2 separate regions of the Mus musculus genome follow, and region 2 is reported to be linked to region 1. The links are microRNA targets in miRTarBase. Many come from high-throughput screens and were not tested one by one. Region 1 holds a microRNA gene; the other region holds the end of a gene's coding sequence.
Evidence for each region. Region 1 holds the annotated microRNA mmu-miR-291b-5p (GAUCAAAGUGGAGGCCCUCUCC, at 3,109-3,130, shown strand). A microRNA usually pairs through its seed, bases 2 to 8, with sites in the 3' UTR of a target mRNA and lowers its output. Matches are read on the target gene's strand: a 7mer-m8 pairs with bases 2 to 8, a 7mer-A1 pairs with bases 2 to 7 and ends in A, and an 8mer does both.

Region 2: the mRNA of Tlcd5 is a reported target of mmu-miR-291b-5p. Seed matches in the 3' UTR shown: 7mer-m8 at 3,934-3,940 and 7mer-A1 at 2,371-2,377.

What each region holds. Positions count from the first base shown.
Region 1 is chr7:3,216,386-3,221,759 of GRCm38, forward strand. Mir291b (microRNA 291b) reads left to right here and starts at 3,097; the gene lies at 3,097-3,175. It overlaps Mir290a (microRNA 290a), which reads left to right and starts at 2,241; the gene lies at 2,241-2,323. It overlaps Mir290b (microRNA 290b), which reads right to left and starts at 2,310; the gene lies at 2,253-2,310. It overlaps D7Ertd143e (DNA segment, Chr 7, ERATO Doi 143, expressed), which reads left to right and starts at 2,399. Exons shown (of 1, transcript NR_028425.1): 1 at 2,399-4,630. It also overlaps Mir291a, Mir292, Mir292b, Mir293, Mir294 and Mir295, and 1 more gene.
Region 2 is chr9:43,106,600-43,111,973 of GRCm38, forward strand. It overlaps Tlcd5 (TLC domain containing 5), which reads right to left. Exons shown (of 3, transcript NM_001034863.3): 3 at 2,054-5,259. The coding sequence ends at 4,721. Among named protein-coding and RNA genes, the nearest start is that of Arhgef12, 3.6 kb to the left of the region's middle.

The sequences.
Region 1 (5,374 bases):
CTGGTATATGCCTATTCCAGCCCTTGGAAGATTGGAGACAAAGACTTATGAGTCCCCACTAACCAAAGAACACACATGGGCTGGACCTAGGCCTCTTTGCTCACATGTAGCCGAGGTGTAGCTTGACCTTCATGTGAGTCCTAAACAGCTGGAGCAGAGGCTATCCCAAAAGCAGTTGCCTGTCCCGGAGTTATGATGGTCAAACTGGGCTGCTTTGTCTGGCCTCAGTGGGAGAGGAAGCACCTAGCCCCACAGACTGGAAGTGCTGGGGGGGGGGGGGCGACTCAGAGGAGAAGACTGGGGTTGGGGGAAGGATTGTAGAAGGAGGTGACCTGGAGGGGGGCAGTGAGTAGGATGTAGGGTGAATACATTTTTAAAAATTAAATTAATTTTTTAAAAATGTTCCATTACACACACACACACACACACACACACACACACACACACACACAAGGTGTAGACTTAGGAGTCCTAAATTATTCTTGGCTATTTAATGAGCTTATGGCCAGCTTGGCGTACTTGAGCCTTGTCTCCAAAAAACAAACAAACAAACAAACAAACCCTAAACTCCAAGTCTGCAATATGCCTCTGTAGCTTTAGCCCTGCCGCCTGGAGACCTAATTTCAATCCATGGAGCTATTTAAAGATATTTAATAAATAATAATAACAACAACAATAATAATAACAAAAGAAAAACAGCCGGGCATGGTGGCACACGCCTTTAATCCCAGCATTTGGGAGGCAGAGGCAGGCGGATTTCTGAGTTCAAGGCCAGCCTGGTCTACAGAGTGAGTTCCAGGACAGCCAGGGCTACACAGAGAAACCCTGTCTTGAACCCCCTCCCCCCCAAAAAAAACATATTTAAGCATAGGAGAAAACTAACTCTATCATATTGTTCTTGGACCTTCATATTCAGTGTGGGAAAGAAAGAAAGAAAGAAAGAAAGAAAGAAAGAAAGAAAGAAAGAAAGAAAGAAAGAAAGAAAGAAAGAAAGAAAGAAAGAAAGAAAGGTAAAAAAGAGGGAGGATTTGAAACTCTGGATTTAAAAAAAATTCAAACGAAAGAATAAACTGAACCTCCCACATTCTTCCTTTATTTATTTTTATTATTATCTTAATACTGAATGTAGCCCTGCCTAGTCCCGTGCCTAGTCACCATAGTAGACCAAGCTGGCCTTGAACTAACAAAGATCCTCCAGCCTCGGCCTAGAAAACTATAGGATTAAAGGCGCTGCTTCTAGAAACAAACAAAGAAATCTGTTTCCTCTGGGGGGTGGGGGGGAGAAGAAACCAGTGAAGGTCACTCTGCCGCAGGGAAACTCAGCTCAGAGGAAGCAGGGTGGTAGAGTAAGGATTCTCCGGGGTGGGGGAGGGGTATCAGAGCCTCCCAGTCCAGGGGGCCAATGAGCCTTCAGACTATATAAGAACCTAGAGCCTCCCCCACGCCTCTCAGAGACTTCTACTCCACATCGGGAATGCTGGTCTCTGCGGTCTTCAGGGATACCTCCGGCGTGCTGCTTCTCACATAGGCAAAGGTAATATTTTTAGTTTCAGATTTTTTATTTCCTTCAGTTCTGTGGTTTTAATCTACCTGGTTTAGAGAGGCGAAAGTAGATCCAGGATTTCCAGAAGAGAGATCTTCCTGCTTCAACTTTGGAGATGACTAGCCAGGCTGGCCTTTAACTCTCATTTCTGCCTGCCTCTCTGCCTCCAGATTAAAGGTCATCACGGCCATCTTCATTCTACTTTTTAAAAACTAGAGCCCCTTTTTTAAAAGGCAGGCTAGCCGCGAACTCAGCCTTCCTCGCTCGCCCCCACGGTTTGGCTGGGTTTACTAATCCCGAGGCAGAGGCAGGCCCATCTGAGGTTGGTCTGGTCTCCAAAGAAGACATTTAGAACTAATGTGTGTGGAAAAAGAGTTGGGCTTTTTTTTCTGACTTGGTCTACATAATTTCAAGGGAGGAACGAGCCTATGTGGGGAAAGTGAGTAGTCTGGGCGCGAGTGAAGTTTGGGGACCAGAAACCAAAGCTAGGAGTTACTGAGGGCAGGTCTAGGGAGTCTATGCAGTACATTTCATTAACTACGTGGTTTCATTGTAGAAATTTTGAGTTTCACTATACCTTGAGTTAGACCGATGTACTAACTCTTCCTTGATTTCATCCAGGTTTCCTTCAGGTTGGAGTGAATTTTAAGTTCTCCACGTTCTTTCCTCCTGGTAAATGTTTTAACGTCTGGACCGCCTCATCTTGCGGTACTCAAACTATGGGGGCACTTTTTTTTTTCTTTAAAAAGTGCCGCCTAGTTTTAAGCCCCGCCGGTTGAGAAAACGGCTATCTGGCACATTTACCAGCCCTGGTGCCACGTGTTCCGGGTTAACTGCAGCGTGGTGAGTACGGATTCGAAGAAAGGAATGAGACTGAGTATAGCGAAAGGCTAGGGATGGGCATCCTGCCCAGTAGACGGTAACTGAGGTGGTCGTTGTAGGGTACCTGGGGGCTCCATGTGCGTCCTGTCGCTGCTTGGAGCTGTTACACCTATGTAGCGGCCATCAAAGTGGAGGCCCTCTCTTGAGCCTGAATGAGAAAGTGCTTCCACTTTGTGTGCCACTGCATGGGGAAAACATCATAGCTTTGCATCTGACGCATCGGTTTACAGGAGCGGACAACCTGTGTGGGGGTTTAGGCTTGGAGTTTAATGGGTCCTATCCTAAAGAGGGCGGTTCAGTTGGGTGCCACGAGACGCGGATGGATGTAAGGCAGTCGTGAGTCCAGGTGCATTGTAGATTGTTCTTAAGCTTGACCTCCAGCCTGTGATACTCAAACTGGGGGCTCTTTTGGATTTTCATCGGAAGAAAAGTGCCGCCAGGTTTTGAGTGTCACCGGTTGAGAACTCAAAACGGCTAAGAACTAAGAATTAAGTTTTAGTGGGTCATGTTTTCACTGGGGTTGCATTTCTGGGCAGGTGGGTGTCACATGTGGGTTTGAGTCCGAACACTTGGGCGCATGCGGTACTAAAGGCTTTCCGCGTTCATAAAGGAGCCGGGATCCCACATGGGCCTCGCTCGGAGGAGCTGAGCCTCAGGTCTTGGAAGTTGGAACATACAGTGTCGATCAAAGTGGAGGCCCTCTCCGCGGCTTGGCGGGAAAGTGCATCCATTTTGTTTGTCTCTGTGTGTACATGGCGTCTGAAAAGCCGGCTGCAGCTGCAACCTGGAATCGCTTACCTGCTTGAAACAGGTATGTGTGCTGGAGGTGAATTCGTTGCCACTGGCTACTCGAGCTGCAAGGCTGGAGGTGAGGAGGAAGCAGGGCAGGGTGGAAGGAGGCACTCCAGGTCCAGGGGTGGTGAGTCTAAGCCTCAGGTCTGAGTAAAGAAAGGCCTACTTTTAAATCTCACGTGGCCGCCATATTAAGTCCTCTTTCAATTTTTTTCCTTTTTCTCCAAACAGGGTTTCTCTGTAGCCCTGGCTGTCCTGGAGCTAACTCACTTGTAGACCAGCCTGGCCTCAGCTCCATCCACCTGGGATTAAAAGATCCTATATATCTTGCTTGACTACTGTAGTTGCTATATCTTGCTTGACTACTGTAGTTGGACTGATGGTTGTGAGTCTTGATATGGTTGGATTGAATTTTTAGGACCTGCTGGCTGTAGCTGACTTTAACCTGGCTCCTAGCACAAACAAGCTTGGTGGACAGCCGGGTAGATAATACCCATAATACCTTTTGGCTTTACAATAGCCCAGGCTCATGAGGGCTGGGATTACAGGTGTTACATTGTGTGCCCTAAGCATAATCTTCATGGATTCTCTTTGTTTTTCAGGTGTTCCAGTTGAGTTGAATGTAATCCTGCCTAGCCTGGGGTACTTACTTGCCTTCAACCTGCCTGGCTGGCTGGTCTGGCTAAGAACTGACTATAAAGTTTCAGGTTTATTACCACAGCAGGTCCCTGTGGAAATGCTTCAATCTGTGGTACTCAAACTGTGTGACATTTTGTTCTTTGTAAGAAGTGCCGCAGAGTTTGTAGTGTTGCCGATTGAGAAACTGCAGTTGGCCTAAGTGTTGCATCATTTGGGTGTCATCTGTGGGTATGATTCAGTCTGTAATGGGGCAAAAGTAAAAGCTGAGGTGCACGGAACCTCACGGGAAGTGACCCAGATTTGACAGGTACTGTATTACATATAGCTGCATTTATCCTTTTGGCATTGAATAATCCTTAATCTTCAGTTCAGTTGTAGGCATGTTTGGATCTAGCGAAATTCCATATAGCCATACTCAAAATGGAGGCCCTATCTAAGCTTTTAAGTGGAAAGTGCTTCCCTTTTGTGTGTTGCCATGTGGAGAAAGCATCGGAACTTCAATCAACCAGAGACTCCTTGCTTGCTCATCTTGGTGAGACTCAAATGTGGGGCACACTTCTGGACTGTACATAGAAAGTGCTACTACTTTTGAGTCTCTCCTGTGGGCACCATTCACAGGTCGGCTGCTTTCATGCATGTGTAGTGTGTATCTGAATCCAGATGAAGGTTTCCTGGAACTGGGACATGTGGGTGCTATTGAATGAACCAAGGTGCTATGGGAGCAACCAGTGCCCTCAGCCTCCAAACATGAATAATAAAGTCTTGTTCTCTTGATTTTGCTGCTTTCTCAGTTTTTGTTTTAAAACACCCGCCATGGTTCCTAGGGATAAAAAAAGCTTGCAAGCATGCAAGCACCCTTTTAATCACTGGGGTTGAGACTAAAGGTAATCCTGGGCTATACAGAAAAACCCTGTCTGAAAAAATCCCCAAAAGTTAAACCAACACATAGCTGGAAGTGTTTTCAACAGTAATAGGGCACCTTTTGGGAGACACCCCTGTTTGCCTCTTGGGATTTAGGCATGCCACCCCTCCAATGGTTTTAAGGAAGAATTACCCTGTACTAGCTTAAAGGTGCCTTTAAGCATAGCCACATTTAAGCCCACATTTGTTTATATACTGTGAGTCTTTTCCATTTCTATACATCATGGCCAGTTCCTTTTAGTGGAGTGTCTGGATGGTTACAAGCTAACCTGAAATGGGGTGGTGCCAGGTTTTAAAAAGTAGTGGGTTGGGGAGCAGGGTGTGGGGGAGGATATAGGGGACTTCTGGATAGCGTTTGAATTTAATATAATAAAGGTAGATCTCTGGGTACTGTACTGGAAGTGGGCGGAGTTATCCCATTATAAGTGGTGGAGCTACCACGTGGTTGCTGGGAATGATGTCTGCCAGGCCTCACTAGTGTCAGGTCGTGAGTCATGCACAGCCATGATTTCTGCATCCTTGGCCACCTTGCTCAGTTTTCTGGAGTGTTGAGATTCAATGCGAACACCACCACAGCTGGGCAAAATCTAATAACCC
Region 2 (5,374 bases), not on the chromosome of region 1:
AATCACCTGGGGCACCTGCTGGCCTAGTCCCACAGCACGGAGGGGAAAGGGGTGGGGGGATGGCCAGAAGAGGCTGTGGAGAAAGGATCTGGGCCCACACTTAAGCCAGGAGTTCCTGATATAAATATTGCTTTTAGGCTGTTTTGCCTTGGCAAAATGAACTGTATTGTTTGCCAAATTGAGAACGCATGGTGCTTTCCACAGCAAGTTAATAAGCGTGTTGTGAAAAGAGATGGAAGAAGTAATACATCTGTCCGGTAAACAGCACAGCACGAGGGATCCCTTTGAAGAGTTCCCAAATGTTTTCTGGTTTCTCTTTCGATGGGGTAGAGACATTCAGCTAACCATGTAGTTTTCTGATTGAATAAATCTGTCCCTGAGGAAATGAGGGACCACGACACAATATAGTTCTCCAATTCTGCCTGTAAACATCAAGCGACTATTCCTTTTATACAATTATCTTCAGTCTCTTCTGAGCTTCAATCCGTGTAGGTGGGAAGAGACTTCGGCCATTTTGTGGAAATCAAATCTAATAAACAGTGGGTGTGGAAAGGAAATAATTACCTCTTAATAATGCTGTTTCTAAGTCATTCCACAACAGTTCGCGAAACGATCGGATCATCACCCCTGAATAGATGCATGAGCTCAAGGTGACGTTAGAATGGGGGGCAAAGGGGAAAAGATAAACAGAAGCCTGAAATGACTCTCTCGCTAGATTTTTTTTTTTTTAAGTTCGGGGCACAGCCAGCTAATTTTGTAATGTTTATTTTTGGAAAGAATAGAAGCAGATTGGAGTTCCAAGCCACTTTCCTAACGATCAGACCTGGACACGTTGCCATCTGCTGGTAAATCCCAACATGGCAATTCTAGCCTGAAGACTCCAACTTGTTTCTACCTATCGTTGGAAAGAGTTCCAAACATCCATCACTATAAACGAGATGTGAACCTTCTCCCCAAGCTTACTCGAGTTTTCTTGAGTGTGCTGTCCTCTTCTCCCTTGTCCTACTAATGTCACAATGCAAGTATCAAGCGAATGGGGGGGGGGGGTCTGATGACTCATCAAATCATGAATTTTAAAAATAAGTTCCCGTCTTCCTTTCCAGCCTGCCTCAATGCTTGAGCTTCAGGGGTGAGACAAACTGGGAACACTTCCTAGTTCACCTTCTCTTCCTTGCATACAAAACCTTTTGGCAAGCTGTTTTCAACATCTTTCCAAATTTTACAGCCCCAGCGTTCTAGCTGTGAGCAAAGGCGGCATTTTGCTGTGGGAAAGCTTTCAGAAGATGGTCAGCAGAGGACTGAATAACTACTGTTTCAATGATGAAAATCTCTAATCACTCACAAGGCTCTGATTTTATTTTTTAATATCCTGACAAAAGGCTCATTATAACTTCACCACTAAGAGTCTACCTATGGAATGCCTTCAGTAGAGCCAAGCAAACCAAGGTCCCTTCCCTAGGTCACACATAGCCCTTTACCTAGGAAAGTGGCACCAGTGACCCAATCCCTGGACATGCAGTTTCCAGTGGAACATCCTCGAGGCCACATTTATCCTCTTATTCACTGCTTCAATGTGCTTATGAAGGGCCTGCTGTACCCAGGACTGTTGTAAGCATCAGAAATCCACTGTCTAGCTGGTTATGGTAGCTTCCACCTTTACTCCCAGCACTTGAAAGGCTGAGGTAGGAGGATGACTTGTGAATTTGGAGGAAGGCTACATGGTGAGTTTCAGGCCAGCCTGTGCTACAGAGCAAAGCCCTGTCTCAAAAAGGGGGAGTAGGAATGAGGAGGTAGCTCAGTGGTAGAGTACTTGTCAAGCAGGCCTGAGACACTGGGGGTGGGGGAGCAACTGCTCAAACAGTTGGTAAAATCAGAATATTATTCCTCCACGTTTAGGCAAACTATTTTCTGCACTGATTGTGTGCTGATTGCTATCTTCCACATAAAAAATAGGAATGATTAATGCTAAAGAGCAGATTACTGTCAACATTTCTACAAGCCAGAGGCTTTTCTCCCTTGGTAAAACCGCAACAAAGATACGAAGGCAGACTCTGGGTTTATAGAAAGTTATTTTATTTCTATAAAATTTAGTACAAATCGTATTGAAATATAAATCCTTCTTGAGCAATATCAGGGATGATTACACAGTAATTCAAATGCAAATAAGTGTCCCCTTTTGTGTCTGGGGACACATCGCACACTAGTCTGCCCTTCATTTACCTGGGTTGTAAAAACAGGCAACCTCTTAACTGCTGAGTCATCTTCAAGAGGTTTTTAATCTCTGACTTTCCTCATAGTTACTAGTTAGACCATCAAGAAGAGCTGAAATGAGGAATTCCTCCCCACTTATCGCTCGTTCAGGTGCCTTGTTATCAAAAATAAATAAATAAATAAAAACCTACAGGCATTTGCTTGAGTTTGCCTCAAACAGAAAGATCTACAATCCTTTCCTTCTGAGGAGGGAGGGAGAAAGGAACCAGCATGAATTTGATTAAGCCTGCTCCCTGGTCTGGTCTGGAGCAGGTTACACGGGGCCAAAATACAAAAGCCAGTTTTGTTTTGTTTTTTTCTTTATGCCTATGTGCCAAGCCACTCTTATTGACTCTGCTTTTGCTGAAGTCAGCATTCCCCAGTTTCCAGTTCTGCCCACAGTTTTGCTGGAAAGGAACACACCACCACCAGGGATTGGGTAGAGTGCTTTGCCTCGCAAGCGCAAGGCCCTGGGTTCGGTCCTCAGCTCTGAAAAAGGAAAAAAAAAAAGACTTCTCAAAGGAACACACCAACATATCTATGACACAAATCAGAGAAAAGGAAGCATGGTGTTATCTGTCCAGAAAACAAAAACGAAAGCCCGACAGCTAAAAGATACCTCTTTAGCTACTTACTGTTAAAGAACCTTTCCATTTGCAAGAATGTCTACGTTTTCAACCTCCCTTGTGACTGGTTTTTGTAGGTAATGCTGCTCACTGGGTTAGTGTCCCCAGTGACTATAGAATGGGCTGACACTTCTCTCTGACCTTTAACCTTGCTTCTTCAGTAGCACCATCTCCTGGCTTACCACCTGAATTAACCAGTCACCATTGATCTAAATAATATAGGAAAGACAACAAATGCACAAACAGATAATACTTTTTTTTTTCCATTAAAGCCCTACATTGGAGCCAGGCATGGTGGCACAGGATTGTAATCCTAGCCCTGAGGAAGCTTAAGTGGAAAAATAGAGTTCAAGGCCAGCCTGAACTATACAAGCAAGACAGTGTCTCAGGAGAAGGGAAAAGGTGATTTAAGGGGGGGGGGGGGATCTAAAACAAAGAAAAAGTAAGAAAAGAAGGAGGTAGAGGAAGAAGAAACGAAGGGAGGAAGGGAGGAAGGGAGGAAGGGAGGAAGGGAGGAAGGGAGGAAGGAAGGAAGGAAGGAAGGAAGGAAGGAAGGAAGGAAGGAAGGAAGGAGCCTGAGGCTATCACATACATGAAAATCTTTGGTTCTAGTTTGCAGTATGTACCAGGAGCTGAAACCTGAACTCCATCTCAAGTACAGTGGAATCCACATGGTAAATCCCCGTGGAATTTAGCCATGGCCTCTCATGCCTAGCAGATTAATTCACAAAAGCCCTGAGAACTGGCATACTCTTCCTGGTCGGGCAGAACCCGTACAACTGGACCAAGTAAATCTAAATCTACCCACATCTCACTCATCTTGCATCTGAAGCACTAGCTCTACAGTTTCTGTGCACACAGAGTTAACACAGGAACCCTGAGCTGCTATCCTTGCAAAGGCCTGCTTGTAACGTTGGTGAGGGCTCCCACCAGAAACTGTTAAGATTGCCTCACTGTTCCTAAACTGTTTCTGAAACACTATGGCTTATGCCAAATGACCGCTTTGGGGGATCTGGAATGTTGCCTCACGCTACTTAGAAGCACATGACCTACTGCCATCAAAGTTTGGGACACCAAGTGTTTGATGACTTTCATGTGTGTTGTTGTGAATCACTCCTGTATATCCAAGCAAGAGACTAGAAGCGAGTGCTTAGATCCCATGAGCTTGGACAAAGGTTCTTTTCCCTTTGCTGAGTCTTCTCCGTATCCTTTCATCATTGCAGATGAAAGCCCTGAGTCTTCTTGATGAATCATGGAAGCCGAGGGTGTCCTTGGTAACCTCTGGCACAGTTAGTGAAGGGAGACGCAGTGAGAAGTTCCTGCCATTGTTAGCTTCACTCCCTCCTCTCTGTCCCTCTTGGCATAACAGCTCCCATTCACAGATACTTGAATGCCTGACCCATGCCCCTTCCTGAGAGTCCCTCCCTTTACATGGGATGAACATACTTAAAATGTCTCGTGGAAATCAGGAGTAAGTGTGGGGAAGGAGTTATTTCCAAAAGAACAAGAAACAGCACTGATTTGACTCAAGTTCTTTTCAGAGATGTCTGAATACCAAGGTCTCCAATGAACATGGGGACCCAAAAAACAAGTGACAGTGGTCATCACTAAACAGCTCTGCCCACTTGTCAATCATCACTGAGGGTGTACAAGTGCCACTACAGGAGTAGGTGTTTCAAGACTGCATATGCTTAGCCTGGAAAATGACTGAAGTCATAACCATACCTTTAGCCCTTTTTTGAAACCTAAGTGCTCGCTTTCTAAGCCCTATAAGCTTAGCTCTGTTTCTGACCCTGGTCCCATGACCAATTCAATCCAATCCACTGACTGGGGACAAGCCTTGACTAGTGTGTCTTGAGATGCCCATTGTGTCTTAGCTGCCGCTCTTCATTCCGTCTGCTTCTCCACGCATGGTACTTCTTGATGCTTTTCTTCCATGCAAAGCGCCAGATGCTAACCATGAAGCACCAAGACACAGCATACATCGCCACACCCCCAACCTTCACAAACCACTTGGGGGTGGGTGAGACCATTTCACAGAAAAGGAGATGAGCGCCCACACCAATCCTCACACCAGTGAACAGAGCCACAAAGAGGAAGTCCACCACATCCCCCGTGAAACTGTGATAGTGGCCAGTTTCCCGGAGAAACCATCGCATCTGGAGCAGCGGGTTGGTGATCTCACTTCCAAAGAGTACAGCATTGACCTCTGTGCCCGACTCCCCAAGTGCTAGGGCCATGATGATCCCCAGGATGCTCAGTGTGTGATGAGCCAGCATCAGGGGACCCTCGGACTGGAAATAGATGCACCAGCCCAAGTCGAAGATGAAGTAGCCCAAGGTAAGACACAGAACGTGAACTTGGAGAGGTGTGTTCGGTGAGCCTGAAACAGATCAAGACAGAAGACAACATGGCTGGGAACTGGGCCACCTGCCACTGTCTCTCAAATCTTTCTAAACCACTAGAGAACCCAAAAGCAGTGACAGGCTCGGGCTTTT